7 linked regions of the Sus scrofa genome follow. The protein of the gene in region 1 interacts with the protein of each later gene in a pairwise test. Links are inferred from orthologs where the notes say so. Each region holds a gene or a part of one and is shown on either strand. Other genes may lie near its edges.

What was found.
Region 2: the proteins of DAXX (region 1) and GOLGA2 interact in binary tests that used the Homo sapiens proteins (3 or more experiments, as listed by UniProt). The two-hybrid records come from large-scale screens. The link is inferred for Sus scrofa from reciprocal best matches to the Homo sapiens genes DAXX and GOLGA2.
Region 3: the proteins of DAXX (region 1) and FTH1 interact in binary tests that used the Homo sapiens proteins (3 or more experiments, as listed by UniProt). The link is inferred for Sus scrofa from reciprocal best matches to the Homo sapiens genes DAXX and FTH1.
Region 4: the proteins of DAXX (region 1) and BTBD6 interact in a two-hybrid assay, tested with the Homo sapiens proteins (2 studies listed by BioGRID and IntAct). The link is inferred for Sus scrofa from reciprocal best matches to the Homo sapiens genes DAXX and BTBD6.
Region 5: the proteins of DAXX (region 1) and TCF7L2 interact in binary tests that used the Homo sapiens proteins (3 or more experiments, as listed by UniProt). The link is inferred for Sus scrofa from reciprocal best matches to the Homo sapiens genes DAXX and TCF7L2.
Region 6: the proteins of DAXX (region 1) and PARK7 interact in binary tests that used the Homo sapiens proteins (3 or more experiments, as listed by UniProt). The link is inferred for Sus scrofa from reciprocal best matches to the Homo sapiens genes DAXX and PARK7.
Region 7: the proteins of DAXX (region 1) and ETS1 interact in binary tests that used the Homo sapiens proteins (3 or more experiments, as listed by UniProt). The link is inferred for Sus scrofa from reciprocal best matches to the Homo sapiens genes DAXX and ETS1.

What each region holds. Positions count from the first base shown.
Region 1 is NC_010449.5:29,678,197-29,682,295, forward strand, and holds the start of DAXX (death domain-associated protein 6), read right to left. Parts: upstream 2,950-4,099; 5' UTR 2,817-2,949; intron 2,746-2,816; exon of another isoform or gene 2,721-2,745; intron 2,285-2,720; exon of another isoform or gene 1,948-2,284; 5' UTR 1,896-1,947; coding exon 1,662-1,895; intron 1,522-1,661; coding exon 690-1,521; intron 570-689; coding exon 355-569; intron 196-354; coding exon 1-195. UniProt on the Homo sapiens protein: Transcription corepressor known to repress transcriptional potential of several sumoylated transcription factors. Down-regulates basal and activated transcription.
Region 2 is NC_010443.5:268,706,511-268,710,181, forward strand, and holds part of GOLGA2 (golgin subfamily A member 2), read right to left. Parts: coding exon 3,616-3,671; intron 3,292-3,615; coding exon 3,150-3,291; intron 1,950-3,149; coding exon 1,863-1,949; intron 1,756-1,862; coding exon 1,648-1,755; intron 1,473-1,647; coding exon 1,385-1,472; intron 686-1,384; coding exon 366-685; intron 102-365; coding exon 1-101. UniProt on the Homo sapiens protein: Peripheral membrane component of the cis-Golgi stack that acts as a membrane skeleton that maintains the structure of the Golgi apparatus, and as a vesicle thether that facilitates vesicle fusion to the Golgi membrane.
Region 3 is NC_010444.4:9,533,790-9,537,953, forward strand, and holds the start of FTH1 (ferritin heavy chain), read left to right. Parts: upstream 1-1,261; 5' UTR 1,262-1,551; coding exon 1,552-1,665; intron 1,666-3,182; coding exon 3,183-3,329; intron 3,330-3,643; coding exon 3,644-3,769; intron 3,770-3,867; coding exon 3,868-4,026; 3' UTR 4,027-4,164. UniProt on the Homo sapiens protein: Stores iron in a soluble, non-toxic, readily available form. Important for iron homeostasis. Has ferroxidase activity. Iron is taken up in the ferrous form and deposited as ferric hydroxides after oxidation. Also plays a role in delivery of iron to cells.
Region 4 is NW_018084979.1:3,330,431-3,334,520, forward strand, and holds BTBD6 (BTB/POZ domain-containing protein 6), read left to right. Parts: upstream 1-1,321; 5' UTR 1,322-1,472; exon of another isoform or gene 1,473-1,483; intron 1,484-1,771; 5' UTR 1,772-1,807; coding exon 1,808-1,890; intron 1,891-2,031; coding exon 2,032-3,064; 3' UTR 3,065-3,459; downstream 3,460-4,090. UniProt on the Homo sapiens protein: Adapter protein for the cul3 E3 ubiquitin-protein ligase complex. Involved in late neuronal development and muscle formation.
Region 5 is NC_010456.5:123,342,146-123,346,578, reverse strand, and holds the start of TCF7L2 (transcription factor 7-like 2), read right to left. Parts: upstream 2,884-4,433; 5' UTR 2,328-2,883; coding exon 2,139-2,327; intron 1,866-2,138; coding exon 1,799-1,865; intron 1,623-1,798; coding exon 1,498-1,622; intron 1-1,497. UniProt on the Homo sapiens protein: Participates in the Wnt signaling pathway and modulates MYC expression by binding to its promoter in a sequence-specific manner. Acts as a repressor in the absence of CTNNB1, and as activator in its presence.
Region 6 is NC_010448.4:68,642,465-68,645,796, forward strand, and holds the end of PARK7 (protein deglycase DJ-1), read left to right. Parts: intron 1-2,492; coding exon 2,493-2,653; 3' UTR 2,654-2,683; downstream 2,684-3,332. UniProt on the Homo sapiens protein: Multifunctional protein with controversial molecular function which plays an important role in cell protection against oxidative stress and cell death acting as oxidative stress sensor and redox-sensitive chaperone and protease.
Region 7 is NC_010451.4:55,404,138-55,407,808, forward strand, and holds part of ETS1 (protein C-ets-1), read right to left. Parts: intron 2,530-3,671; coding exon 2,452-2,529; intron 1,278-2,451; coding exon 1,029-1,277; intron 1-1,028. UniProt on the Homo sapiens protein: Transcription factor. Directly controls the expression of cytokine and chemokine genes in a wide variety of different cellular contexts. May control the differentiation, survival and proliferation of lymphoid cells.

The sequences.
Region 1 (4,099 bases):
CCCCTGACCTTCCTGCATCTGTTCCAGATCCTCCTCCTCTTCTTCGGAATCTGTGGCCTCCTCGTCTTCCTCCTCATCCTCCTCCTCTTCTTCCTCGTCCTCCTCCTCCTCCTCATCACTTTCCTCATCTTCCTCATCATCTGTCTCAGCCTTGGAAGTGGTCGAGCACTCCTGGGAGGCCATCCCACTAGGGCCCTTCGGGGGACAAAGGAGTTTCTCTAAGGAATCCCTTGCCCCCTTGAGGGACTGGTTCTTGCATCCCTTCTGCACACTCCGCCATCAGTCCCAAGGACTCCCTCCTGGCCAGTGCAGGGGAAGGACAGGGTCTCTCTCAAGGGTGTGGCCCTTCCATACCTCGCCAGAATCCAAGGAGGCTTTGGGGGGTTCTGCAGAGTGGGCAGAGGTGGCCTGGGGGAGCCGAGCCCTTCTCTTCTGTCTCTCGCCCTCCTCACTCTTGTCTTGCATCATTGCATATTTGGAGATGACCTCATCCAGTCGGCTCATAGCCAAGCTCCGGTTCTCCCGCAGGCGCCGGGCTAGGACAGGATCTGACAGGGCAGGATCGACACCTGCATGGGAAGACATAGGTCAGAGCACTCACCCAGAATCCTAGAAGGAGGGACTCCAGAGAGCTTCCTCCAGCATAGGCCAACACACCAAGGGACTGGGGAGACCCTGCTAAGGCCTACCTGGCCTGTAGTCGTCTGTGAGGTGACAGCCGAAGTTGTAGATGAGATCGAGGTGGCGACGTTCCTGCAACCTGATGCCCACATCTCGGAAGGCATCCTGAGCCATGAGCTGGAGCTGCTGTCGGGGGAGGCCAAGGCTGTGCCGAGCAGCTGCCTTCTCGACAGCCCGAAGTACGTCTCCATAGTCAGGGAAGGTATCAGGCCCTGGCTTGTTGATGAGCCGCTCGATGCGCCTGTTCACCTCCGGGTAGCGGGTGCCCCGGTAGGGGATGCGCTGCTCTATGACCCGGCCCGTCAGAGAAGAGCATTCTTTGAGCTCACACAGCCGCCCAAAGAGGCGGATCAGCTTACGCTTCAGTCTGGCCTCCTGCAGGTAAGTGGAGTCCGGGTCGTCCAGTTCTGAGAGATCCAGCTCCTTTTCCTGCAGCCGCCGGATCTCTGCCACATAGAGCGCAAGAAGCTGCTCCAAGCGCTGGATCTGCCGCCGGGAACCACGGGTCCTTGGGGCCTCAGAGGCAGTGGTCTCAGCATTTATGGGGTCCGAGGAGGGGCCTGTGGGGGGGTCATTCCCGGAGGGCTCACTAGAGGTGGTGGCAGCAGGGGCCAGGTTCATCTTCTTCTTGGCCGAGTTGGCCTTGAGAACAGTGCAGAGCTCGTTAATGTAGACATAGAGCTTGGCGGGCCGGCTCTGAGCCCGGGAAAGGACCCGAGAGAGGATGTTGTGGAACTCCGCCGAGGCCAAAAACAGTGAGTGGGCCCGCTGCTGCCGGCTAGAGAGGAACGGGACCACCTCAGGGTGGTCTGCTGTCTGCCTCCTACACAGTTCAAGGAACTGGAAGGTTCACGGGGAAAGGGACAAGGGATGGGTTGAGAGAAAGAAGGCGAGGTGGGGTTAGTGGGGAAGACAAGACAAGAGAGCCAGTCGGCCAGCCCCCTCCCTGGAGTACAAGAATCCTCTCCCCTAAAGCTCACCTCTTTAAACAGCTTCTCATTCTCCAACTTGTAGCATTTCTTGCCGCCCGAACTACTGCCTCCTCCAGCCCCATGGGGCTGGGAGGAGCCAGGGGCTTCTGCCCTGGGTGAGGCTGGAATGGGGGCTGCCCTGGGTGAGGCTGGGTTGGGGGGTGGGTGGGAGGGCCCTGGCTGAGCAGCTGCTTCATCTTCGTCATCATCATCCAGCACGATGATGCTGTTAGCGGTGGCCATGGGGGATCAAATCCCCCGGAGGGAGGAAGTGGTGGGGTTTTCGTGATTCCTGCTGGAAGGGGACGGGGCCTCAGAAAGAGCCCCTCCAGCAGAGCCCCATCCCTTCATCTCACACATTTTTGTCTTCTTGGTTTTCAAAAACACCCAGCCATGCCCAACAGTGTCCTCACTGCCTGTCTTCAGCAACCATTAGTACCGTGTTTTTCTGTCCCTTTACTACGAGAGCCCCAAACCCTCGGAAAACCTGAAGTCCCACCCCCAGCTCCACCCCTCACGTCGACATCCGGTCTTTCGGTTGCATTTCCCCACTATTTCTCATAGGTGGCAAGTTGATTCTTCTCAACCCCGGACCACCTCTCACACTGCACTCCAGATTTCCTCGACACCCCCTGGAACAGATACCACACCCTCGTTGGCACCACCTCCCCGTGTCCCCCTTCCGCTCTCCCACAGGTTCGCCCCGTCCTGTAGGATCACCCCAACTCCCAGCCTCTCCGAGGCGAGGGTTGGTCCTCCCCACATCCACTCCCCTTTCTCCTGCCAAGACCACCTCCCTACCCCGCCCTCCGGTGGGTCTCCTCCAGCCGGGGCGGCAGTCGGAGATAGCTCGGCTCCAGTCCCCTCTCTCTCACACCAACCCGAGCCTCCCCATTCTCTCCGTGTGACCTGTAAGCGACCGTGGGCCCCACACTGGTCTCTCCTGCTTGCTCTCACACTCTAGTCCTGAGGCCGGCCCTGCCCCCGGAGGAGCTTCCCGCCAAGTCCCCCTCCCCCAGTTCAGCCCCCGGCCCCCCCACACCCCTTCAGGGATAGTAAGGAAGGTACCTCAGCCTGCCCCTCAGACTCAACGCCCAGGACTCCCGAGTACCTCGACCTCGACATTCCCGCCCCGCCTTCGCCCCCCGCACCGCCCGGCCCCACCTCAGAAACGGTCTCTCGAGGCGACACTCGCCGCGGATCTCAGAACCTCGCATGGTTCCCTCCGCCTTCCTTCCCCCTCCCACCGCAGGCCCTACTCCGGACCGGAAGCGGCGGAGTTTCCGCCTACAGGCTCCTGGGTGCGGCCATGTTGCCGTACGGATCCCAGTCTCCCCAGTGGCCGGAAGTGACAGTAGGCCCGCCTCCTCGAGCACCTCCAGTGCCGCCCACATAGTCTGAGGCGCCTTTCTCCCTGACCTGCAGGGGGCGGATTTGCGCCCCTCCATCCCCCATTCGGGGCCTCTCAAGGTACATGCGGGCCGCCATTTTCCCGTACGGCGTTGGCTACGCCCCGAGTGGGGGCGCGCCGCCAGTGAAGCTCTTTTCACCCGGTGCTTCTGCGACTCGGCCAATCAGAAGCTTCCCGCAGCCGGCCAACCGCCAGCGCGTCGCGTGCGGGGAGGACAGAGCCACCTTCCCAAGGGGGGGGGGGGGGGTACGGAACAGAGCAGCAAAGGAATTGAGCCCTCCGAGGCTGCACAGGGATGCACGGAATGGGGGGAGCCTCTTGAGAGGAAAATAAAACCTTTTCCATCCGCGGCGCTATTGACAAGCCCTCTGGCGCCGATTTCCTACCTGCCAGGTACCAGTTTCCCTGGCTTAATCGACTGTACCTGCCATTCCCTTCTATGGGCCCGCTCTCCTTTTCGCTGTCCAGCTGCTACTTCTACCGACAGGTGCCTACTTCGCCCAATTGCGAAGTCCTAACACGGGATACAAATGAGCACCACGAGCTGTACAAATGTGTTTTATTATTATTGTTATTGTTGCTGGTTTGCTTTCCACTACAGAACTATTGGCCAACCAAGTAGGTAGAATCTAGGTGGTTCTACGACGTCTTTTCTGGAGGAGGTCCCCGAGGCGGAGGCGATGATGGCCGGGAGGCCGGGCTTTGTCCAGAAGCTCCAGGGCCTGAGGACGGGCGTTGTGAGGAGGAGGAGGCTCTGAGGAGAATCTGCAGATTGCCGCTGTATGGACTGTGAGACGAAATGAGGCTCGTAAAAGGCCTCGGAGTCTCGTCTTTTCTTCTGGAAGTGCTGATGAAAGAACAAAAAGAGAAGAAACCAACTTTGACGCCCGCCTCGCCTGGACCCCCACCTAGCCCAGCTTTAGGGAAGCTGGAGGGACTCACGGAAGCAAAGCTGGGTCCAAAGGTGAACTTCTGGGGAAACCAAAAAGTTAACACCGGTCCAGTCGCTGAGTTTCCCACCTCTTGGATCCCTGCA
Region 2 (3,671 bases), on another chromosome or scaffold:
TCTCCCAGGTTCTCCTGCAGCTGGCCCAGCTTCTTGGCCAGCTCCTTCTTGACATGCTGCTCCGAATGCAGCGCGCTGGTAATCTCCATGTTCTCGTTGGACTGCACAGAGAGGAGCAATCAACTAAGCTGGAGCCCGGCTCAGGGACCAGCGGCAGCAGGCGGGTAAGCCCTGCCCCTCCCCAGCCCCCTCTGCGCAGGGCCCTCTGGCTCACAGGTGGCCTTCGTGGGCCCCATTTCACTCAAGGGCCATACCACCCATTTCACAGGTGGGGAAACAAAGACCCAGAAGGATGAAAGGTCTCGCCCCCGCCCCAAAGGACCTGGCCAGGGAGGGGGACCGGCGGGCTGGGGAGGGCTGCTCACCAGCCTGACGAATCCGTTCTGCAGCTCAGCCAGCTGCTCCTTGAGTTTGCGGTTCTGCGTGAGCGCGCGGCTGATGGTGGTGCGGTCGCTCTGCATGCTCTCCAGCATCTGCTTGCGCTCCTCCGCCTGCTCCCCCCAGCACTCGGCCGCCCGCTCCAGCTCCATCAGCCGCTGCTCCTGCTCCTGATTCAGGAGGCTCAGGTTTTCATTGTCTTTCACCTGCGCCTGTAGCTGCCTGGCCAGGCTCTCCACTTCCTTCTGTAACTGCTCAGCCTCTGCCTGCAGCCGCTGTTCAGTCTCCGAGGGCCCTGATGGGGGCGCTTGGGGTGGGGGCACAAATAAGAAAGGGAGCCTGCTGTCAGGGCCTCTAGGCTCTGCCATCTCCAAAAAATCCTCTTCTTGGTCCACAGCTGCTAACTCAGCTTCTTCACCACCAAACCTTGGCTTCCTCGTTCAATCTTTCAAGACTCTTTTTTTGTTGCTGCTTTTCAGCCACACCTGTGACATGCGGGAAGTTCTCAGGCCAGTGACTGAACCCACGCCACAGCAGTGACAACGCCAGATCCTTAGCCTGCTGTGCCACTGGGAAACTCCTCGAGACACTTTCAGACAGAGTTCTTTACATCTTTATACTCAAGACAACCTCGGGAGCTCCCGCTGTGGCACAAAGGGATCGGCGGCATCTTGGGAGTACTGGGATGCAGGTTCAACACCTGGCCCGGCACAGTGGGTTAGGATCCAGCGCCTGTGGATCTGATCCCTGGCCCAGGAACTCCATGTGCCGCAAGGGGTGGCCAAAAAAAAAAAAAAAAAAAAAAAAGACAACTTCGGGGTGAGTGACAGTGGGCTCTCGACCCCTTTCGTACAGATGGGAACACGGAGGCTCAGGGACTGCCACCTCCTGGTACGGACCCCTTTCCCTTGACCCCAGTGCCCTTCCTGCCACACGCCTCCATTCTGAGCCACCTTGGCCGGCCCTGAGCCCACCCTGCTCCCTGACGCCCCCGGCCCCCGCTCACCTGCCTGGTTCCTCAGTTCGGCCAAGCTGGTCTCCAGCTCCTGCACCTGACTCATGCTGTGCTCTTTTTCTGCCCTCAGCTTGTTCAGCTGCCCAAGCACAGGGGGGAGGCCACATGGAAGGAAGGGGAGAGGGTGAAGGAGTGACCTGGTGACCCGCGCCCTCTTCACCTCCAAACACATACTTCCACCTCCAGCTGCGCGTGGCAAGCGACAGGAAGATCAAGGGACCGAAGGGGGGTGGGGGCCGTAGGTCACGACTCACCTGCTCATTCATCTGCTGCATCTTATGCTGCCAAACAGTGCTGTCTTCTTTCAGATTCGCCACATACTGGTCTCTCTCTGCCTGCAGCTGCCTCAGCGAGTCCTGCAGCTGCAAGAGTGCGTGCAGAAGTGAGCAGGGGCTGTCACTGGGCCTCCCCTGTTCCTGGTCCCTCACCGTCAGCCTCCCTCCGGATGCCTCCCCCTGCAGAGCCTCACCTGCCCCACACAGGTCTCCAGCTGTGCCCGCTCCTCCAGGGCCTGCTGCAACTGCTGGCTGCTGTCAGGGGTAGGCTGAGTAGAAAACTGGTGAAAAAGGAGGCGGTGAGACCCGGGGGGCCCAGGCTGCTCCAGGCAAAGCCCCCCGCCCCGAAAGGTCGGCGTACAACTCAGGGTTGTCCTCATGTTATCTGTACCACAGGCAAAGGCTTTATCTTCACTAAATGTTCATGCGCAACGATTCAAATATAAGTGTTCGAGGTCCTCCCAACCCTTCCTCTAGCTCCCCAGTCACCCCAGTCCGTGTGTATTCTTCTAGACCCTTCCCACACACATGCAAACACGTTTAATTAATGCACACTGCAGTTGTGCTGTCGTTGAGTGGTATCGAACATGGTTCTGCAACTTCACTTCACTTTGCTGCAAAGTGAAGACGCACTGGGTTGCTGGCGTGGTTCCATCGCGGTCACTGTGTGCACACGGCACACCCCCAGCTCACCCTTACTGACGGCATGAAGGCAGACAGTTGCCGGGTGGGCAGAAAAACTGAAGGGGAGGTTCTCTGACTTCAGGCACCCTGTCTACCTGGTGGCTTTTGACCCCAAGAGGGAGGAAACAGACTCACGAGTTGGCCTTATAACCACCATTCACAAAACAACGGTTTTCGACCAGGGTGTTTTAAAAAATAAACACAGGAGTTCCATGTGGCGAAGCTGGTTAAGGATCCGTCATTGCTGTGATGCGGGTTTGATCCCTGGCCTGGGAACTTCCACATGCCACGGGCTTGGCCGAAAAACAATAACAATAACAACAAAAACCCCACCCCGGAGTTCCTGTCGTGGCACAGCTGAAATGAATCCGGCTAGGAACCATGAGGTTGCGGGTTCAATCCCCGGCCTCGCTCAGCGGGTGAAAGATCTGGCATTGCCGTGAGCTGTGGTATAGGTCGCAGACGGCTCGGATCTTGTGTTGCTATGGCTCTGATGTAGGCCGGTGGCAACAGCTCCGATTAGACCCGTACCCTGGAAACCTCCATATGCCACAGTTCAGCCCTAAAAGACAAAAAACAAAAAACAAAAAACAAAAAAGCAAACCCATCCCTGAGATTATGATTCCGGAGGTCTGGGCAAGGCCTTAATTTTTCTCCCACCTCTGGAGGATTCCATGGCAGGACCAGAACAAGGATCCAAGTCTTCTAGTTCCTGGCCAAGGCCACCCTAGGTATCCCTGAGACCCTGGCCTGCTGCGGGGGGCAGAGGGGCACCCTCCCTGGGGCTCCAGCTCCACCTGCTGCAGCAGCAGCTCCGACATCTCCAGCTTCTTCTGAAGTTCCTCCATCCCCAGCTGCATGGCTGCCTTCTCTGTCGCCATGAGCCGCAGCTTCTCCTCCAGCTCCGACTTCTGCTGCTTTAGGTCCTCATTGCTTTTGCTGCGCTCGGAGGCAGGGGAGGGAGGCGTGAGTGAAAAGCAAAGGACCGCTCTGGTGATCAACCCACCACCCTCGGCACAGGACCACAGGACAGTCGCTTTGGAAGGGACCCCGGGATCAGGAGTCACAAGCGGCAGGCCAGAGACAGGACACGAGTTGCCTGAGGCCGCAGCATGAGTTGGCGGCACAGCTGGCATGAGAGCCTAGTTCTGCTCTCGTCGAAACCTCTCCCGCCTCCTCACCCCGCTCACTGGGATGCCCCCCCAACTTGGCAGCCCCACACCAGCCAAGGCCCCCCACCCCGCCCCGTCCTCCCCATCCTACTTGTTCTTGTATAATTCCAGCTTGAGGGTGTCTCGCTCTTTGGTTAATTCCTTGTT
Region 3 (4,164 bases), on another chromosome or scaffold:
CCCAGACTGGGTAAGGCACCCTTGGTATTCACCCATCATCCTTCTTAATTTCTTGTCTGCAGCCCTAGCCCCATTAAAATTTTTTTTCCTTAAGTAACATATGTACATTTGAAATGAATAAAGACCCAAGAGAAATCGCTGTAATTCCACCAGCAACTTGTTTTCCTATTTTAGTAAAGTTCCTTTAATTTTTTGTTGTAAAGCTTTTAGAAGTACAGCTTACAGTTGGACATTTGTGAATATCCTGAAAAGGGTCTTGGGTAGGTCCCCTACCCACGTGTTGAAGGGCCTGATTAAGAATCGTGGACCCTGGGGGCAGCAGATTGGGTCTGCCTAGCTCCAGTTCTGCCACCCACGAATTCGCACCCACTCAGTGCCAGGGACACTGCTGCAAGCCACACACAGTGCCCCAGCCACTCCACGTTCTCTGGCATCTGTCCTTCATGTTCCGCGCCTTCAGCTTCTCTCCAAGGACAACCCAGGGGGTGGCTCCCTGTAGAACCGCCTGAGCCTGAAGCTCCTGGGGCTTGATCGGCCATTTCAAAATGGCCTCACAGCATCCTTTTCAGATTCAAGCAGCTTCTTTCCTCCTTTTCTAACCCCCTTGGTCTCTGAGTTGTAAGCTACCGGCCGATTTTCTCAGAACCCTGGTGGCTCACGACTCCCTCGGGAAGGCAGTCTTTCGGGGAAACACGACCCGCCCAGCCTTTGTTGTAGCAACTGCACGAGGAGCCACGTACACTTTCGGCCAAAGCCGGACCGGGCCACCAGAGCTGGAGGAGGCCCGACCCCACCTGCTTTGGGCCCCTTCCTAGGTTTTGAGGAATTGAAAGAGGGCCCTTTCCCCGCCCGACCTCTGCCTCACTCCGGGCCCACGTTCACTCTCCGGGTTCCCTATTTGCATTACCAGGCACCTCGGAGTGTGGCAACTGCAGCTCTACCGCTCTGATTTTTAACATGACCTTGGCCATAAGTCTCGGGGTGCCCGCTTGGGCTCTTGCAAGAGCCTCGACGCCCCAGGGAAGGTTTCCCGTCGGTTGCAAAACCCAGGCTGTCAGAGCCCCGAGAGTCATAGAGTCACAGCCCCGAGCTGGACTTCCTGCCCTTGCTCAGGTCGTCTCTCTCATCCCACGAAACGCACCTCAAGGCGTCTGCGCGGGACGGGGTTCCAAGACTCCCAGGCTTCGCCACCCCACCCCTTCCCTCCCCTCCCCCACCATCCCAGTGCGCCTCCCCCCACCCCCGCCCGCACCCACCGGAAGGGGCGGGGCTCCGCGCGGCGGGCAGGCGGCGTGATTGGCCGCGGCGGGGCGGACGGCCGATGCCGATATAAGAGCCGGGCCAGCGCTACCTGCGCCACAGTCTTCGCGGAGAGTCGCTGCGGTTTCCTGCTTCAACAGTGCTTGGACGGAACCCGGCGCTCGTCACCCGCCCCGGCCGGCCGCTCAGAGCCAGCCCTCGCCACCTCTTCACAGCGCCCTCGGACCGCCCCAAGGCCACCGCCACCGCTCCCGCGCCGCTGCCGCCACCACCGCTCCTCAGCCTCCCGCCATGACGACCTCGTGCTCCTCGCAGGTGCGCCAGAACTACCACCAGGACTCGGAGGCGGCCATCAACCGCCAGATCAACCTGGAGCTCTATGCCTCCTACGTCTACCTGTCCATGGTAAGCGCAGGCTTGGCCGGCGGGGGGCGGGCTCGGCCTCGGAGGCGGCGGGGCGGGGTGTGGCTAGCGGGCGGGGCCTCCCGCCTCCCGCCTCTGCGCGGTTCTGGAAAATGGAGGCTGCTCCGGGTCCCCCAGGACTTCGCAGAAATTCCGAGGAGTCGGCCCTTTCCGACTGACCCCTGGGAGTGCCCCTTTGTAGGCCGACTGCCTCTGCCCGCCCACCCCCCTCCCCCCTCCCCCTTTTTTTTCCTTGCCGCGCTTGCTGCCAGTACCATCCTGCAGTTAGGAAGGTGGATTTTCGCATTTCCATTCCGTCCTCTGCATCCGATCACGTGATCCTGGGCGGAGGCGAAGAGGTCCTGCTCCCATCCCCCAGAATACGGCGGAGCCTGCTGGGTAATGGTGTCGAATAGCAGCCCTGGGGGCTGGTGTGAAGTGCTTTATCTCCAGTGGGCTGACCACCCGAACAGCCGTCTCCACCCGTTTGCTCTGCTTATCGCCAAGTCCCACTTGAATTGAAGCACATCTCTAGAAATCTCTCCTTCCGCCACAGTTGTCTTAGTCACCCGTCCTTGCGCCTGACTACCTCCTCCTTTATTCTTTTTGTCTAAAGGTTGGGGCCTAATCGAACCCTTCGTTCTTGGATAAAGTCCATCCACAGTTACAGGGCCGGCATTTTTTCCATAGAGGGGTCAGTTTTCCAAATTCCTGGTTTTAGGCGGTGTGGTAGGAGTTGTAGAATTGTCTGACCATTACGTAAACCATCCAAGAATAGGCAGGTACCAGATGGGTTTGGAACTGGCCTGGATTTCTATGACTGCCCTTCCATTTCAGGAACACCCAGCAAGGGTCTAAAAGAACCCAGTTTTGCTTTCTACTGTTATGCCTTTATATACATTGTTGCCCACAGCCGTCTACTTCCCTAGTGGGGTACTTTTAGAAATGCATCGGTCTGGCTGTAAGCTGGCAAGTTCATGTTTTAACATGGATTAATCAAGGAGGGAGAAGGAGGAAGCACTAATAGTGCGGAGTAAATACTCCACTTTCCTCTCTTCGACCAGATGTGACACTGGCTGTAAGAATTTAACTTTGGAGTTCCTGCTGTGGCGCGATGGGGTTGGCGGTGTGTCTGGAGCGTTGGGACTTAGGTTCCATCCCTGGCCTGGCACAGTGGTTTTAGGGATCCAGCACTGCCACAACTCTCATGAGGGTCACAGCTGTGGCTCCCATCTGATCTCTGGCCCGGGAACTTCCTCAGACCAGAGGCGGCCAAAAAAGAAAAAAGAACTTTGCTCTAACACAGATCCTGAGGATGTTCCATGGTGGTGGCAAGTCCTGTGATATTCTAAATGCTCCTTGTGAACATTTTTCATTTTTGCCCTTAGGAGTGAGAACTAATGACTGTTTAGTTCGATGCAGCAACGCAGCCTGCTCTGATCTCCTTAGACCCAGACCCCTTCTTGCTGGGCTTTGAGAAAGGAAGCCTAGGCTCACAGACTCCTGTTTTCACTTTTCAGTCATACTATTTTGACCGCGATGATGTGGCTTTGAAGAACTTTGCCAAATACTTTCTTCATCAATCTCATGAGGAGAGGGAACATGCTGAGAAACTGATGAAGCTGCAGAACCAACGAGGTGGCCGAATCTTCCTTCAGGATATCAAGGTGAACAAAAGATTCCAGGGTTGTCGTGCCTGATGTGTCTGGCGCTCCTCAGGTGGCAGAAGGCACAGACCTGAGCAGTTGCTCTTATCAAGACGCAGATACGTTGGGCTTGTGGCTTGTGGCTTTTGTGCTGTTGTGGGCCTATCGTCTAAAGTGGGCAGATGGTAACGGGCAAGGATAGTAAAATAGAAACTGTTGTCGGGGAAGCTTGGATATTCCTTTCGCCAAGCACAGTGCTTACACGTTAGGTGCTTGCTGACTTGGGTTTAAAGGTAGAGGCTGCAGGTGCATTGACTTGGCTCCTTCTCGTTCAGAAACCGGAGCGCGATGACTGGGAGAATGGGCTGACTGCCATGGAATGTGCGCTGCACTTGGAAAAAAACGTGAATCAGTCCCTGCTGGAACTGCACAAACTGGCCACTGACAAAAATGACCCCCACGTGAGTATTGAGGCAACCTGGGAGGAGGAGGAGGAAGTCATTTACCTCGGGGCCTGGGAAGGCTCGCCAGTAACTCTCTTCCCCGTTGTCTTTTCCAGTTGTGTGACTTCATTGAGACGCATTACCTGGATGAGCAGGTGAAAGCCATCAAAGAATTGGGTGACCACATTACCAACTTGCACAGGATGGGGGCCCCCGAGTATGGCATGGCCGAGTATCTCTTTGACAAGCACACCCTGGGGAGCAGTGAGAGCTAAGCCCTAAGCTGGCCTCCCGGAGACACGGGGTGACCCCCCTGGTCACCAAAGCAGTGCATGCATGTTTCGGGTTACCGTCACCTTTTCTATAAGTCCTACCAGAACATCTACTTCAGTTCTTTCCTTAGTGTACCATTC
Region 4 (4,090 bases), on another chromosome or scaffold:
TCACATGCCACACACACACACTAACTCCCAATGAATTAAAGACCTAACCACGGGACGGGAAGCGGTCAAGCCCTGAAAGAAACGAAGGGCTACAGCGTGACCTTGGAATGTGCCGTGATTCCCTGAATGGGACACCAAGAGCACAGACAACAAAAGCTAGCACAGGCCTTCCTGCCCTGGCTCAGCGGAAATGAATCCAGCTGATACCCACGAGGATGCGGGTTCGATGCCTGGTCTTGCTCAGTGGGTTAGGGATCCCGTGTTGCCGTGAGCTGTGGTGTAGGTGGCAGACGCAGCTCCAATCCCCTTTGCTGTAGCTGTGGTGCAGGCGGGCAGCTGTGGCTCAGGTTCCACTCCTAGCCTGGGAACTTTCAAATGCCACACGTGTGGCCCCAAAGAGGAAAAAGAAAAAAAAATAGGCAAACGGGACTATGTCAAAGTTAAAACCTGTGAAGCAAAGGAAACAACCAATATAGTAGAAGATGCAACTAACAAAATGAGAGAATGTATTTGCAAATCATACACCTGGTAAGACCTTAACCTCCCGAAAACGCAGAGAACGCCTAAATCTCGATAAGGACAAAAGCCGATTCAAACGTGGGCAAAGTGGTTGACGAGACATTTCTCCAGGGACATAAAAATGACCCACAAACACCTGACTCGGATCCACACCCCTGACCATCAGTGAGACAGCATCGGACCGGTTCCGGGAGCGAGCGGCCCAGGGTGGGTCAGGCCCAGGGACCCCTCCCCTGACCGCGCCCCCGCCCCCGGCCCCGCCCCCGCCCCGAACAGCCCCCCCACCAACCCGCTCGGCGCCCGCGCGGGCTGCCGGCTCCGCGCCCCCCGCAACTCCGCCGGCGGGGCGGGGCCGGGCCTGGGAGCGGGGCCGCGCGCGCGCACGCCGGCCGCGCGGGGCGGGGCGACAGGCGCGCACGTCGGCCGCGCGGGGCGGGGCCGGGCCGTGACGCGCGGGCGGCGCGGTGGTGCGGGTGCGGGCGAGCTGGAGGCTCAGGCCGGCGGGCGGGGCGGCCCGAGGGAGCCGCGCCCGCCGCCCCCGGCAGGCCGCCACCGCGCGCCCCCGGCCGCCGCGGCCCCATGCTGCTGCCCCTGGCCTGCCTGCACGGCCGGGTGGCGCAGTGCCTCACCGCGCTCCTGGTGCTCGCAGAGCCGCCACCCAGGCCCCGCCGCGTCGCGAGGGTGCACGGCGCGCGGCCCCCGCGCGCGGAGGCCGCCCTGCCCGCGAAGATGGCCGCGGAGCTCTACGCGCCCGCCGGCGCCGCGGCCGCCACCGCCACCGCCACGGACATCGCCAACAGCAACGCCGCCGCCGCCGCCGCCGCGGGCAGGAAGGGCCGGCCCAGCGCCCCCCTGCCCGCCCCGCCTCCGCCTGCGCCCGAGCCGCCCGCGCCGGACAACAACAACTTGGAGAGCCCGAACTGGCAGTCCTTCCATCCGACCCTGCGCGAGAGGTGAGGCCGCGCCCGCCCCGCCCCGGCCCTGCCCGCGCCCCCGCCCCGCGCCGCGCCCCCAGCCCCGAGCCGTGTGCCTCTGCCCTTTGCAGGAACGCGCTGATGTTCAACAACGAGCTCATGGCCGACGTGCACTTCGTCGTGGGGCCCCCGGGCGCGGCCCGCAGGGTGCCTGCCCACAAGGTTGGTAGAGGCTCGGCCCTTTGAGCTCCCAGAGGCGGCCGGTCCTCTAGCCCGGGCGTGGCAGCCGCCGGGGGCGCGCAGGGCCCCGGGCTCAGGGCGCGCTCTCTCGTCCACAGTACGTGCTGGCCGTGGGGAGCTCTGTCTTCTATGCCATGTTTTACGGGGACCTGGCCGAAGTCAAGTCCGAGATCCACATCCCTGACGTGGAGCCCGCGGCCTTTCTGATCCTGCTGAAGTAAGCCGGCTCAGCTAGAGGGGGAGGCCTGAGGTCCACGAGGCCGGGGGCGGGCGGGGGGGCGGGGGGCTCCTCTCCCAGACCCGGTTGCCGGGCGGCGTGTCCCTCGCAGCCTGTGACCTGGCGCCGCCTCCTGCCTAGGTACATGTACAGTGACGAGATCGACCTGGAAGCCGACACGGTGCTGGCCACTCTCTACGCCGCCAAGAAGTACATTGTCCCCGCGCTAGCCAAGGCCTGTGTCAACTTTCTGGAGACGAGCCTGGAAGCCAAAAACGCCTGCGTCCTGCTGTCCCAGAGCCGGCTGTTCGAGGAGCCCGAGCTGACCCAGCGCTGCTGGGAGGTCATCGACGCGCAGGCCGAGATGGCGCTCAGGTCGGAGGGCTTCTGCGAAATCGACTGGCAAACGCTGGAGATCATCGTGATGCGGGAGGCGCTCAACGCCAAGGAGGCCGTGGTCTTCGAGGCGGTGCTGAGCTGGGCCGAGGCCGAGTGCAAGAGGCAGGGCCTGCCCGCCACCCCCCGCAACAAGAGGCACGTCCTGGGGCCGGCGCTGTACCTGGTGCGGATCCCGACCATGACCCTGGAGGAGTTCGCCAACGGCGCCGCCCAGTCGGACATCCTGACGCTGGAGGAGACCCACAACATCTTCCTGTGGTACACGGCGGCCAACAAGCCCCTCCTCGAGTTCCCCCTGACCAAGAGGAAAGGCCTGGCCCCCCAGAGGTGCCACCGCTTCCAGTCCTCCGCCTACCGCAGCAACCAGTGGCGCTACCGGGGGCGCTGCGACAGCATCCAGTTTGCCGTGGACAGGAGGGTGTTCATCGCGGGGCTGGGCCTGTACGGCTCCAGCTCGGGGAAGGCCGAGTACAGCGTGAAGATCGAGCTCAAGCGCCTGGGGGTGGTCCTGGCGCAGAACCTGACCAAGTTCGTCTCCGACGGCTCCAGCAGCACCTTCCCCGTCTGGTTCGAGCACCCCGTGCAGGTGGAGCAGGACACCTTCTACACGGCCAGCGCCGTCCTGGACGGCAGCGAGCTCAGCTACTTCGGGCAGGAGGGCATGACGGAGGTGCAGTGCGGGAAGGTGGCCTTCCAGTTCCAGTGCTCCTCGGACAGCACCAACGGCACGGGGGTGCAGGGCGGGCAGATCCCCGAGCTCATCTTCTACGCCTGAGGCGCCGCGCCGCTTGCGGCCGCCTCGCCGATGCCTGACGGCCCCGCGCCCCGGCCTCTCGGGAGCGGCTGTGGCCGAAGGCGTGACACAGACCCGCTCCTACACGGCCGGAGCCTGGGTCTCTGGATTCTGGCCACTGGGCCCGCTGGCATCTCCTGTACGCTGGGGTGCACGTCTCAGGTGGAGGGCAGGTTTGGGGGGCACGAGGCAGGCCCAGTTCCCTCCCAGTGGCGCCTGTTTTGAGGGCTCTGCCACCCCTCCCAGCCTCTTGGATTCTCCTCTAGGTGGTTCTAGGCTTCTGATCCTCTCTTCAAATCCAAAATGGAAACATCACTTAAAGTACGTCAGCTATTTAAGTGGATTTTCATAATAAAGTTTTAACAAAACGAGAGGCACACGCAGCTAACGACCGTGAGTCTCGAAGCGGGGCGCCCGCCGTCTCCCAGGACTGACATGCACAGAGGACACCTCGGCCCTGACGGCGCTTAGCGGGGAGTCCCCAGAGGCCCACCTGTTCGCGAACGCCTGCGAACGCGTCCTAAACTATCACTAGCCACTTGAAGTCCTCCTGTGGGGGTGGGGGTGGGGGTGGGGGTTCTCTGCCAGGGGGGCCCCAGCCCCTGGGAACAAACCCAGCTCGGGCTCACTGGCTCCTGCGTGGGCGTGCTGCCCGTCCTTCACTGCAAACGCCTCAGCAGTGGCTGTTTTGGGGGAGCCTCAGCGTGTGCCCCAGAGGGAGGCCCTGTGGCCCTCAGCGCGGGGCTGTAGCCCCTCGGGAGCAGACCACCCCAGCCAGTGTCTCCCTGCCGCTCTCCTGCTGGCTGTGTCTTCTCGCATCACCCAGTGCCGTGGGTGTTCTGGGACTGCACCCGGGCCCCACGTCCTGCCTCCTTGACGTGCAGAGACAGGCTTCTAGACAACAGGCGGGGGAGGGAGCAGCCCCTCCGGGCAGACCCAGCTCCAGTCAGGGCCAGTCTGCGGCCAATAGGTCCTGCCTTCTGTGGGGCACCGCACTGCCAGGGGTAC
Region 5 (4,433 bases), on another chromosome or scaffold:
CTGATCGACTCCCGTCCGGCCAACTCTCGGCCATTAAGCACCGAATCCACAGCTGCTGAACAGTGAGTGCACTATTTCAAACTGCTATCTCGAGTTACCGAAAAAGAAAAAAAAAAAAAAAAAGAAAAGAAAAAAGAAATGTGTGTAAATAGAAGAGGGAAGGAGACCAACCCAGAGAACGTACAAAAATGACAAATCCGAGAAGCCGGGGCACAAACGTTTAGAGATTGTGTCTAGAGATTCATAAGCCAGGCTTTCTAGAGGCGAATGGGATAGGAGGGAGGGGGTTCAGGGCGAGGGCAGGGGGCAGAGGCCGGTCGGGGGAGGGGGTGAGCCTTATTAACAAATGTCAGGGGTGCGCGAGGGACGCAAGCTGCGGGAAGCACCCCCCGGAGCCTGGCTCCCTGCGCCGCCCTGGGGCCCCCAAAGTTGGGTGGCCCTCGATCAGCAGCCCACTCCCTTGAGCGACTGGCGCCCTCGGCCTCCCTCACCCTCTGTACACCCTTGGGCCCCGCACACCCTGGTCTCTGGCCCCCCAGGGCCCCCTGAGGGCCTTCTCGGAAGCTGGCGAGCGCAGACCCCGCTATAAACCCCAAGACACCGAAATACATCAAGTCCGCTCGGAAGAGGCCATCCCGGCTGCCAACAAACCAAGAACCGCGGCCACAGGGGCCTCTCCACCTCGCGCGGCCCGGGAGAGCCCGCAGCCAGCGCGCCGGGCAGCCGAGCCCGCCACGACGCCCAGGGCGCTCGCGGCCCTGCGGGGTTGCCCCAGAAAAGGAAGCCCAGAGCCCTCAACTCTGTAGTGGGACCAGTCTGGGAAGCGAGACCTTCCAGGGGAAAAGGGGAGGAGGGCTGAGAGCCAGCCAACGCCACCAGAAAGCTAAACAAATAACCAGCCGAAAGAGAAAGCCGAGGCGCTTCTCCAGGGCCCCGGGCTCCGCGCGCCCGCTAGTTCAACAGTCCAATGCCTGGAGGACAAGCCACCCTCACTCAGCGCAGCCCAGCCACTCGGTCCCCAGCAGCGGCAGCCAAGGGGTTAACCGGGGAAAGCCCAAGACGCCACAGAAGAGGGAAGGAAGGGAGAGAGAGGGAGAAAAGAAAGAGCCACACAGTCATCTTCCCAGGGTGAAGAAACAAACACCACCACCAAAGGGGGCGGGGGAATCAGAGCTCAAAAAAAAGTTCTTCTGATTTACCTCCCCCCCAATAAAGCCCTGCTTGGAAAGAAAAGTCTCCCCAACACCACGAAGCAACAAACTGAAAGCAAGAACATGGCGAAGTGCAAACAAATCCAGTCCACAAAAGGCAGAAAAGTTTGGAGAGTTTCGGGCTGCCAGGGCCACGAGCGGGGGAGGGGAGGCGGGGAGGGGAGGAGGCGGGGAGGGGGAGGGAGGGGAGGGGGAGGGAGGGGGCAGGGCAGGGGCCGCATGCGGGGCCAGGCGGGCGGCGAGGGCGGGCAGGCAGCGGGCGGGGGCCGGGCGCGGAGGCACTTACGGTTCGGGCGGTGGGCGAGAGCGATCCGTTGGGGAGGTAGGGGCTCGTCAGGTCGGGGATCATGATGAAGGGGTAGCCGGGATACGGTGGCCCCTTAAAGAGCCCTCCATCTTGCCTCTTGGCCGCTAACATGGCGGGACGGCGAGGGGACGGCGGCGGCCGCGCGGACCGGGAGAGAGCGAGGAGAAACTTTTTAGAAAGTGCCCCAAGTGGCCGGGCGCCCCGGCCCGGCCGGGGCACGCGGGGCGGCGGGCCCGGGGGGCAGCTCCCGGCGGCTGCGGGGCGCGCGGGACGTACTCACCTTCTTCCAAACTTTCCCGGGATTTATCTCGGAAACTTTCGGAGCGAGGCGGAGGCCGTCTTTCCGCCTTCCCGGAGGGGTGGAGGTGGGGAGGGCGAGGGGCAAACGGCACGCAGAGGGGGGAGAAGGGGGAGAAAAAGAATCAGTGGGGTGGGGGTTTGGGGGGAGAGAAAAACAGGGTTACAACTTTTTGCAATGGTGGCACCACACGCACACGCCGCCCGCCCGGCCCCGCGGCGCCCTACCGCCGCCCCCAGCCCCGATTTCTCCCCTGTAAGCAACCTTTGCCAAGCCCAGGAAATAGATTCAGAACCCCACCAGCCCGAGGGGCTTTTCCTACCTCGGAATCGGAGGAGCTGTTTTGATTCGTTTCTGATTCATTGACTAGAGACGATTTGACATCAGCTAAATCCCTCTCTGCCGAGGAGTTTTCGGAGCTCTTCTCCTCCTGCTCGCCCTCGTCTTTGAAGGAAATCAGTTCGTCGTTGGCGCCTAGGTCATCTCCTCCACCGCCGTTCAGCTGCGGCATTTTTTTCACCCACCAGCAGCAATTTTGGAAGAAAAATGAAGGAGGAAGAAAAGCCAAAAAAAAAAAAAAAACCCAAAAAGTTTTACCCCCCCAAAAAAAATATTGCAAGAAAAAGACGAGTCCAAGGTGAACTTTTTTTCTGCTTTGGGGTCTTTTTCTCCTGGGGAGGGGAAAGAGGGAGGAGGGGAGGGGAAGGGGGGGGAGATCTTCTGCACGCGTGAGTTTGGGTTTCTTTTTTCTCTCGTTCCCAAGGATCCGATCAATGTGCAAAAAAATAATAAATAAAAAAAGGGGGGTAAAAAAAAAAACACCACCAACAACAACAAGAAGTCAGATATAAAGAGCAAAGGGGGGGGAAGCCGAAGATACAGGAGGAGCTCGTGCCGCTCGGATTTGAGTGAGTTGAAGTTAGACTGAGAGCTTTTCAGTTCAAAGGCGGCGCTGATTGACAGATAGAAAAAGGGGGATCGAAATCCGGAGGAACGGAGTAGTCTGGGAGCGGAGATTATTGACAGGGCGAGAGGAACACACTCGCTTAATGAGATGCCGAGGGGCGGGGCCGGCCGGGTGACGTCTGCATAAATAAACAGCCGGAGTGGGCGGGGCGGGGGCGGCTAACAATGATCCTTTCGGGCGCCGGGAGAGGGAGGAGGGAGAGGAGGAGGAGGAGAGGGGCGGGGGAGGAGAGGGGCAGAGAGACAGAGGGAGGAGTGTGCAGGGGGAGAGGCCTGCGCTGAGAGTGTGCGAGCCCGGGAGTCTGGGCGAGGGAACGGGGACTCGCTCCGGGAGGGGGCCGGCTTCAGAAAGACAATGCGGGGTAGGAGAGGAGGGGAAGAGGGTGGCGACCGAGTCAGGAATCCGAGCCGGGAAAGGCGGAAGGAAAGCCCACTTGGGGGGCGGGGATGGGGAGAGGCCCAGAAAAAGTGCACTTTGGAAACATTAGAAATAAGTCTTAAGGAAGGGGAAAAGGAGGAGAGTGTTGTGGGGAATGGGTGGGAGGGTGGGGTGCTTGGTGGTTTAGCCAGCAGTGAAATCAGCCACCCTCGGGCGGGATGTAACAGAAGTGGTCGAAAAAGAGAGATCAACCCTCCACTTTCAGAGAGCCTGGGGAAGTGGAGGGCTGGGCAAAGTTCCTGGTCATCTGCAGTGAAAGAAACTATTAACCCACGAGGTCTTCCCTCCCCTTTTTGTTTATTAATAGTGAATCATTTCATTAAATCTTGTCTCACTAGACTAAATATGCCAAAATGACTTTTTATCCAAAAAAAAAAAAAAAATTCCAACACTGTGGTGTTTGTCAGGGGCATTAAAAATATCCTTAAGGAAAAATGCATGATTCATTTCAATGTAGTGTTGTGGCTTTTTGTTTGTTTGTTTGTTTTAACTGAGTTGGAGGTGGTAGGAAATGAGTTAGGATTCAAAGTCCTTTCTGGCTTTGGAAGTGAAAAGTTTGGGCGTTAACATCACCAGGGAAAATAAAACTGAAAGTTCACCAACCTCTGGGATCAGTGGTGCTGGAGTCTTTCTGGAAGGGGGTCTGAAATGAAATTCCCGAAAGACTGACCAAATAATCAAGATGTAGATGGCTCTGGCAGGAAATTGCTAACCCAGCTGATGCTTGAAGGCCTCAGGGAGGAGATGGAAAACCTGAGGTTTGAGGCAGGTATTTGTTGATTTTTAGGCTCTCTTGGGGAAGTAGATTGATTCACTACAAATGGGAAAGAAAATTATGTTAAAGGGGAAAAGGCCTGGGTCCCAAAACGCAGTATTCCTGGAAAATGGAGCAAGAACACTGATTTTCTTGCAAATATCCAATGAGAAGTGGACAGGAATCTACCATATGAAAGAGACAAAAAGAACCAGAAAAAAAGAAATCAAAAGAAATCAGCAAATTGTCTGTGAGGAACAGTGTTGGTCTAGGGTCCATGATGTACTAAATTATTTCACCCAACCCTATAAAAAAAAAAATCTCACCCGCTTTTCAGCTGGCCATCTGTACTTCAGCTTTCCAAAAGAAAGCAAATTTACCATACAATATTTAGAGAGTTTGGGTTTTCAGCAAAACTGTTGTATAGACTAAGGTCTCAGAAAGAAGACTACCAAAAA
Region 6 (3,332 bases), on another chromosome or scaffold:
CATCTGTTACCTGAGGGTGACAGTAGCCCCCTCACAGGGGCGTTGGCAGGCTTCATGGGTCAACAGGTGTTAACGCACCGAGAATGTCACCCATTGTGCAGCCTGTGCTGGAGAAGGGCCCGCTGGTGAGTGCCTGGTGCTGGGCTGCCCAGCTGCTGGCACCGGCCAGGCTGTAGGAGGGACACCCCCGCTTGGTACTGGTGTTTGGTTGGCTTCCCACCACAGTCCTCTTAGGTTGGCATCATCCCCGTTTTACAGAAGAGAAGAGGGAGGCTCGGGGGGATGGCCAGGAGGCTTCTAAGTGGCAGGCCTGGGATTTGAGCCCAGAGCTGCCTGTATTCAGGGTGCCGTGGCTTTTCCTTGAGAAAGGCAGGTAGTTGATATTCTGGGCTCTGGGCCTTTACGCCGCTGTGGCTCACAAACCACATAGGTGAGGGGCCGGCAGGCAGGTGGAAGCAGCCCCCCGCCACGCACTGCAGCTCTGGGCTTTGAGCTGCTTTGCTTTGTGGTGTTGGCTTCAAGTTGAAAAGATGACTGGCAGGTGCCCTTGCTGGTGCACTGCAGGTGTTGTTCTTCCCCGCGGCCACTAGGGGGAGGCGGGCGGCAAGTAGACCCCGCTCTTGCGGGTTGAACCTCCCGGGCACCGGGGAAGTGTTCACAGTCTTTAACCAGTTGAAGCCGTCTTTCTAAGATCTTACCCACAGAGAGGTGGTAAGTGGACGTTCAGAGTCGTGCCTCCCGCCGCCTGGTCTGGGCTGCCCGCTCAGCTCGGGGAGGCCCAGCCCAGCTGGTTTTCTAGTTCAGCATTTCAGATGATCTTGGCCTGGTTTAACCATCAGTAAATGCGGTTAGATTGTGAAAACCTTCTGTCCTCTGACCAGGGTCCTCTTGCTTTCTATGAGAGCGTAGCTGGGAGGTGTTCCTGTGCTGTAGTCAGTTACCGTGGTGGGGAATGTGCTTCCCGGGAGGCCGGAGTCCTAAGTTGCACACTGTGAATCCACCCTGGAAGGACCGAGCATCAGCACGCGGTTTCTGAAGGTCACTAGTGCCGCAGACGTGTCCTGCTTGGGAGATAGCTTTTCTGTGAGCTCTTCCTTAGACTGTGGGAGCAGGAAGAGCAACAAGATAAAGCCGTGTCCTCAGATGGGGGGTGCGCTGCACTGGGTGGGGCGGGGGAGGTGGTCAGGGGTGGCGTGTGCGCTGCGTGCCTGCCTCTGCCTGCAGGGCCGGGATGTGGCAGGATGTCGCAGGGGACCCTTGCGGGCTTTTGACCCCCGCCCTGCCTCTGTCCTTCGTGTCCCACATCACTGAGTGACCCTGGGACAGAGGGCTGGCAGCCACCCTCAATGCCTGCCCATGTTGAGACCTTGCTGTTGGTGGCCACCGCCCCATCCAGGTCACCCTTCGCCCCTCGGGACGCGGGTTCTTTTCCGTTTCCCTCTGGCCCAGTCTGTGCCCAGGCCAGGCCCAAGGGCTGCGTGTCGTGCCGAGGGGTGAGGGTCCTCTCCAGGTGCTGCAGGAGGTTAGTGAAGGTGTCTCATGGGGACAGAACTGGATCTGCCCTGCTGTGCACTTGGGAAGGGGTGCCTTTTTTGGTGCTGCTGAGCTGGGGGAGGGGGGCGGAGAGCAGCCAGAAGGGGGCGCTGGACACTGAGGGGATATGGAGGGGCATTCCTTCCTGGTGCCTGGGGGGCCTCCTTGGTGCCACTAACACTCTAGGCCAGACAGGGGAGGTGAAGGCTCCGCGTCTTAGAGACTAGACAGTGAGCAGGAGGGACTCGTTTACAGAGGGAGGACCCCGATGACCCGGGGTTCACACACACCTTGTCTGGGGCTCGGTGCTGATGCTGAAACCCAGAGAGCCAGCTGGGCGGAGGGAGCAGCGCTGGTGCTCTTCCTGGGCGGGAGGGAGCCTATGTGCTGGTAACGGGGCTCCAGGTGGGAGAGGGAGCCCTGGGGACGGGGGTGGGGGGTGACCTGTCTTCAGGCAGAGAAGGGGGTTCAGAGGTTGCCTCTCCCTGCCCATGCTGTAGTTCAGGTGCCTCGCGCTCAAATTTATGAGCACATCCAGGTGGCGCGTTTGGGGGTGGCACCTTCTCTGCCCTTCACCCGGATCTGACGCCTGCACTTGTCACAGAAGGAAAACGTGTGTGATGGGCATTCCCAGACCTCCCCTCACTCAAGGGCCGGCGTAGCGGCATCGGGCTCGTGTGTGTGTGCGCGCGCGCGCGCACGTGTCATTTCAGTGGTTGTCGGTGTCCCCCACTCTTAAGCGGGCACAGCTGCTCTGATGCTGTCCTGTGTGCCCTGACGAGCTTGGAGTGCCTGAGTCATCTGGGATCGGCTGGCCAGGGCCTTGCCGTGGGGGCTCCGCTCGTCTGTCAGTTTCCGAGGGACAGTAGCACGCTGGGGCGGCGGAAACGGCTCCGTGGGGTGCGCGGCTGTGCCAGTAGCCCGTGAGGACGTGACCCTGTCTTGTCTTTGTTTCGAAGGTCATTACAGCTACTCAGAGAATCGCGTGGAAAAGGACGGTCTGATCCTCACCAGCCGGGGGCCCGGAACCAGCTTCGAGTTTGCTCTGGCCATTGTTGAGGCCCTGGCCGGCAAGGAGGTGGCCGACCAAGTGAAGGCCCCGCTTGTTCTGAGAGACTAGAGCCGAGCGGGCTGCCCGGAACCCCTCCCGCCGAGGGCGCTTTAAACCCAGAGGGTGGCTCTGTGCCTGCCCCCCAGGCGAGCTTGTGACCTGACAGCTGCAGATGCTCTCCCCACAGTCGTGTCCCCACATTTCAGACCCTGCTTCCCGAATAAATAGGGCATTTAGCAAACTACTGGCTGCTCCTGCTTTTACCTCCAGTTTCCATGTTCTTGTGTGAAACTAAATCATCAGTTTCATGTGCAGCTCTTATCTGTTGATAACAGCCCCTGAAATAAGTGACCCGCAAGCACGGAGGAAAAGCATAAAGCAAACATTTAAGAGGCTTGAGGCCTCCCCCCATCCGTTACCTGTCTCTCTAATGTGCTATTAAAACCCCAGCAAAGCTGGCGGTTACGGTGAATTCCGGCGCACTGATGCTGCTTTCCCACTGCGGCAGAAGTCCCCGGAGGCAATGAAAACCCTGCAGGGTTGGTCTGGCCTGCTCCCCCGCTCGCGCCACCGCACCCGCTTGCTTACCCTGCGAGCCCACAGGCTTCCCAGCCCCAGAGCCCCACATAACTGACTCCGTGGCCCAGGTGAGACACCCAGCAAGGGTCTCAGCTGGTGCTGCTGGGCTCCTCTGGTCTGGGTGCTCAGGAGGAGCAGCGGGAAAGCTGGGGCTGCCGGCAGCCACCTT
Region 7 (3,671 bases), on another chromosome or scaffold:
AAATCACCAGGAGGCTGGCCAGGCCCACTGTGGTGGCCCAAGTCCACTGGATCGGGTTTTCTCCTGTTGCTCTTCCTGTTTGTAATTCTCTCCCACTTACCCATTAGCACAGTCATCTTTTTTCAGCTTTTTAGAAATCAGCTGGTTCTTCCTGGATGAACAAGTCCCTCCTTGCAATGGGCTGGACTTTTCTCAGAAACAAACAATGCTGACACTTCACCAGGTGGGCTGGGCCTCTGAGTGTTTATGTCCTGATCTTAAAACCTGAGTGTGCTGAACTTTTTTTTGCTTTTATAAAGTCAGCCAGCCAGCTCAATTTTGAAACCTTTACTTCACTCTCAGTGAATATTTTATCGTCATCAAAACAGTCATGTCAACAGAAGTGCCCTCTTTTGGAAGCCTCTGGCCACCTCTTTCCCTGGTCCTTAGCTAAACACACACTTTTCACCACACTGCTGATGACGGGTTCCAAATAAGCCGTTGGTTAACCATCTCACATCTCCCCAAACCAAAGAAGTCACAGGAGGCTAGAGAGCCCAAGCTGAGAAGCACGGGTCATTCAGATACCAAGCCAAGATGAGCAGTCTGACCCAGGAATATTCGGGACCCAGGACAAGGAGGCAATAAAGGCTCTCTAGGAGGGTCCATCCCCTGAATCATTTTTCCGTGATTGTGTCCTCCTTAAGCAAAACCCTCTCCAAGAAAATAGAACACACCTTAAAAAACAGCCACCTTCAACTCAAGTTATTATTTGCTGACATGTTTGACCCAAATAAGAAATGTGATTGGTCATCCTGCTGGATGTCAATCCCACCATAGACCCGCCCACAGTCTTTGTCATCATGGAAGACATGCATGCCTACGATTCCATGATACCAAGTGCTGCATATCTAGACGATCTACGACAGAAAGGCTAAAAAACTCAGGCCTGCCCAGGGCTGAGAGTGAGGGGAGGGAAATATGGGGACTGGAAAAACAAATGTAGTTAGGTCACTGTTAGAAACTTCTAGAGCACAAGTCCGACCTACCACGACTGGTCCTCCCCATGCACATGTTGTCGGGGGTCACAACTTCTTGTTTGATGGCAAAGTAGTCGGTCTGCAAGGGGTCCGTCTGCAGAGGGTCCCGGAGGATGACCGGGGGGTAGTCGTTCTCATACTTGAGGGACAGGAGCTCCTCCGAGCTGATGGGATGGAGGGTCTGGTAGGACTCGGTGATGAAGCTGGGCTCGGAGAACTCCGAAGGAGGGACGCACTGGGCATGCTCAATACCATAGCCTGGGAACGGAGCATGTGCAATTAGAGAAGAGAGATGAGCCCCCAAACCAGGCAGTTCCTCCCCGTTTAGAGTGGCCCCACAGTGAGAGACGAGCTGACTACCTTAGGATTTTAAGTCAAAGGGTCTGGGCTGTTAACCTTGCTCCACTCCTTAAGAGCCATGGCCCTTAGGAGACGCTTCCCTCTTCTGACTTCATTTTTTCATCTCTAAAGTAGGGATGGTTGCACTCTTCCTCAAGCCTTGCGATGAAGCGCCAATGAGAGCATCCATGTAAAAAGGCTACCAATGTTTCTGACACACAATAAGCTCAAGATTGTCGTTAGAATACAGATCATAATAAAGTAAAAAAGAAGGAAAACAGGAGTTCCTGGCGTGGCTCGGCAGAAACGAATCTGACTAGTATCCCTGAGAATGCAGGTTCGATCCCTGGCCTTGCTCAGTGAGTTAAGGATCTGGTGTTGCTGTGGCTGTGGCGTAGCCAGCAGCTACAGCTCTGATTCAACCCCTAGCCTGGGAACCTATATATGCCGTGGGTGCGGCCCTTAAAAAGATAGAAAAAAAAAAAAAAAAAGAAAGAAAGAAAAGAAAACAAACCTGCTTAAGATGCTCTCTGAAAGCAAGGCCATTAGGCAAGCACGGCCCTCCACTAAATTTCTTCCTCCTCCAGCCACCCCTGCAGCATAGCAAGGGGTCAGGGACCAAGAGGAGGAAGCTTCTTCACATTCTGGAACAGAACCTGAGGCCGTAGGGCATCCTCTAGACAAGGGAATCTCAGAGGAGATGCTGTCACATCTCCTAGTAAAAAGGATAAAGAACAAGGTCCAAGACAAAATTCCTGACTCCAACCTCCAATGGCCACCACAGGGCACAGGATCAAACAGGATCACAGCTTGGAGGCAAGTCCTAGTCTCTCTGCATGACTTTCACGCTGAAGATACGGGCTAGACCCTGGTGCGCAGGCGCCTGCAGGTTCATGAATCGTGCCAACAGGCCGAAGCCTTGCGCTTCTCGGGAATGATGCAACAAATCACCACATCACTGCACTTAAGAAAGTCTTATTTTCTGCGGCATCACGGGAGTGAAGGTGCCTGAGATGACTCAGGACAGGGATCCTTTCCTAAGTTCCCATCCCACAGAGCAGGAAGAGGGAAGACGAGTGGCAGGTGAACTTACTAATGAAGTAATCCGAGGTATAGCGGGACTCCGGGTAGGTGGGGTTGACTCCATTAACTTGATATGGCTTCACATCCTCTGCAACAGGCAAGGGAGGAACAAGACAAAGAGGTCAGCGTGCAGGTAAAATGCCCGGCCTAAAAGGACCTGGGACACAAGGACCCCAGGGATGTCAGTTCCTCTTCTAAAAAATCTGCATGTTCACGAACGGAGCTGCTTCCTCTCTGAGTCTCCCCTGACTGAGGCCTTGTCTGGAGATGAGTTCACTAAAGGACGTGGCTGAGTTTATTATTTTAGTAGCTGCAAAATGGGATTTAAGAGCTTGGAAAGCACAAGCCTGAGTAAGCTCTAGGGGCTGGAAAGACATCTGCCCTCATGCTCGATGCACACGCGTGCCACCGGCATTCAAGGCTTGAAGACATCTTGGGAGGGACCAAAATCAGCTACCAATAATCCAAACGGATGGGTTCCAGAGCTTTTCAGAAATTCAGGACAATCTTTTTGAGGCAGGTAGATTTTGGAGCCTCCGTTTCTTCCAACAGATGTCTGGGTTTTGTTTTATGGTTTTTTCAAGTTCAGGCCCAGATAAGACACGTAACAGTGGTAAGGTGACTCTACTCATGCACAGAGAGAGCAGAGCCATATAACCAAACTCCTGTCCAGGTGCCAACTTCCCAAAGAAGGAGAAGGGAACGTAGATGAAGGGAACCAAGCAGAGGCAGTCTCTCCACTGAACTAAGCGGAGCCTGCAGGTCCTCGGAGGACCCTGGAAACTGGTGGTGGCCTCTGACCATTATCTCAAGTGGTCTGATTACATTTCACTGTAAGACTCCGACATAAAGACAGAGGCTTGGTTTGGGTTTTTCCTCGGGTATTTGATAGCTGGTTGGGAACAGAGACTGCTGGGAAAACAAGTTTATGCCTGCACAGAAAAACAGTTCCCAGCTGAGATAAAATGATTAAACTCTGCTTGAGCAGCTTATCAGATTGAAACATCCCTGTACCTTTGGCCTTAAACCCCACCCAGAACAGCTATGTTCTTTCAGTGCGGGGTTGCTGTTGTTTAATTACAGAACAAAAGCTGCAGCCTCCATACAAACATCACGTTCAGCTCTTCAAGGATCTGCAGAGCGGCTCTCAACTGTCTCTCTCCCCTGCAAACGGGTGAGATGATACAAGTTTTGTTCTCAAACCCACTCCCTCATTGTCTGCTTCTCCGA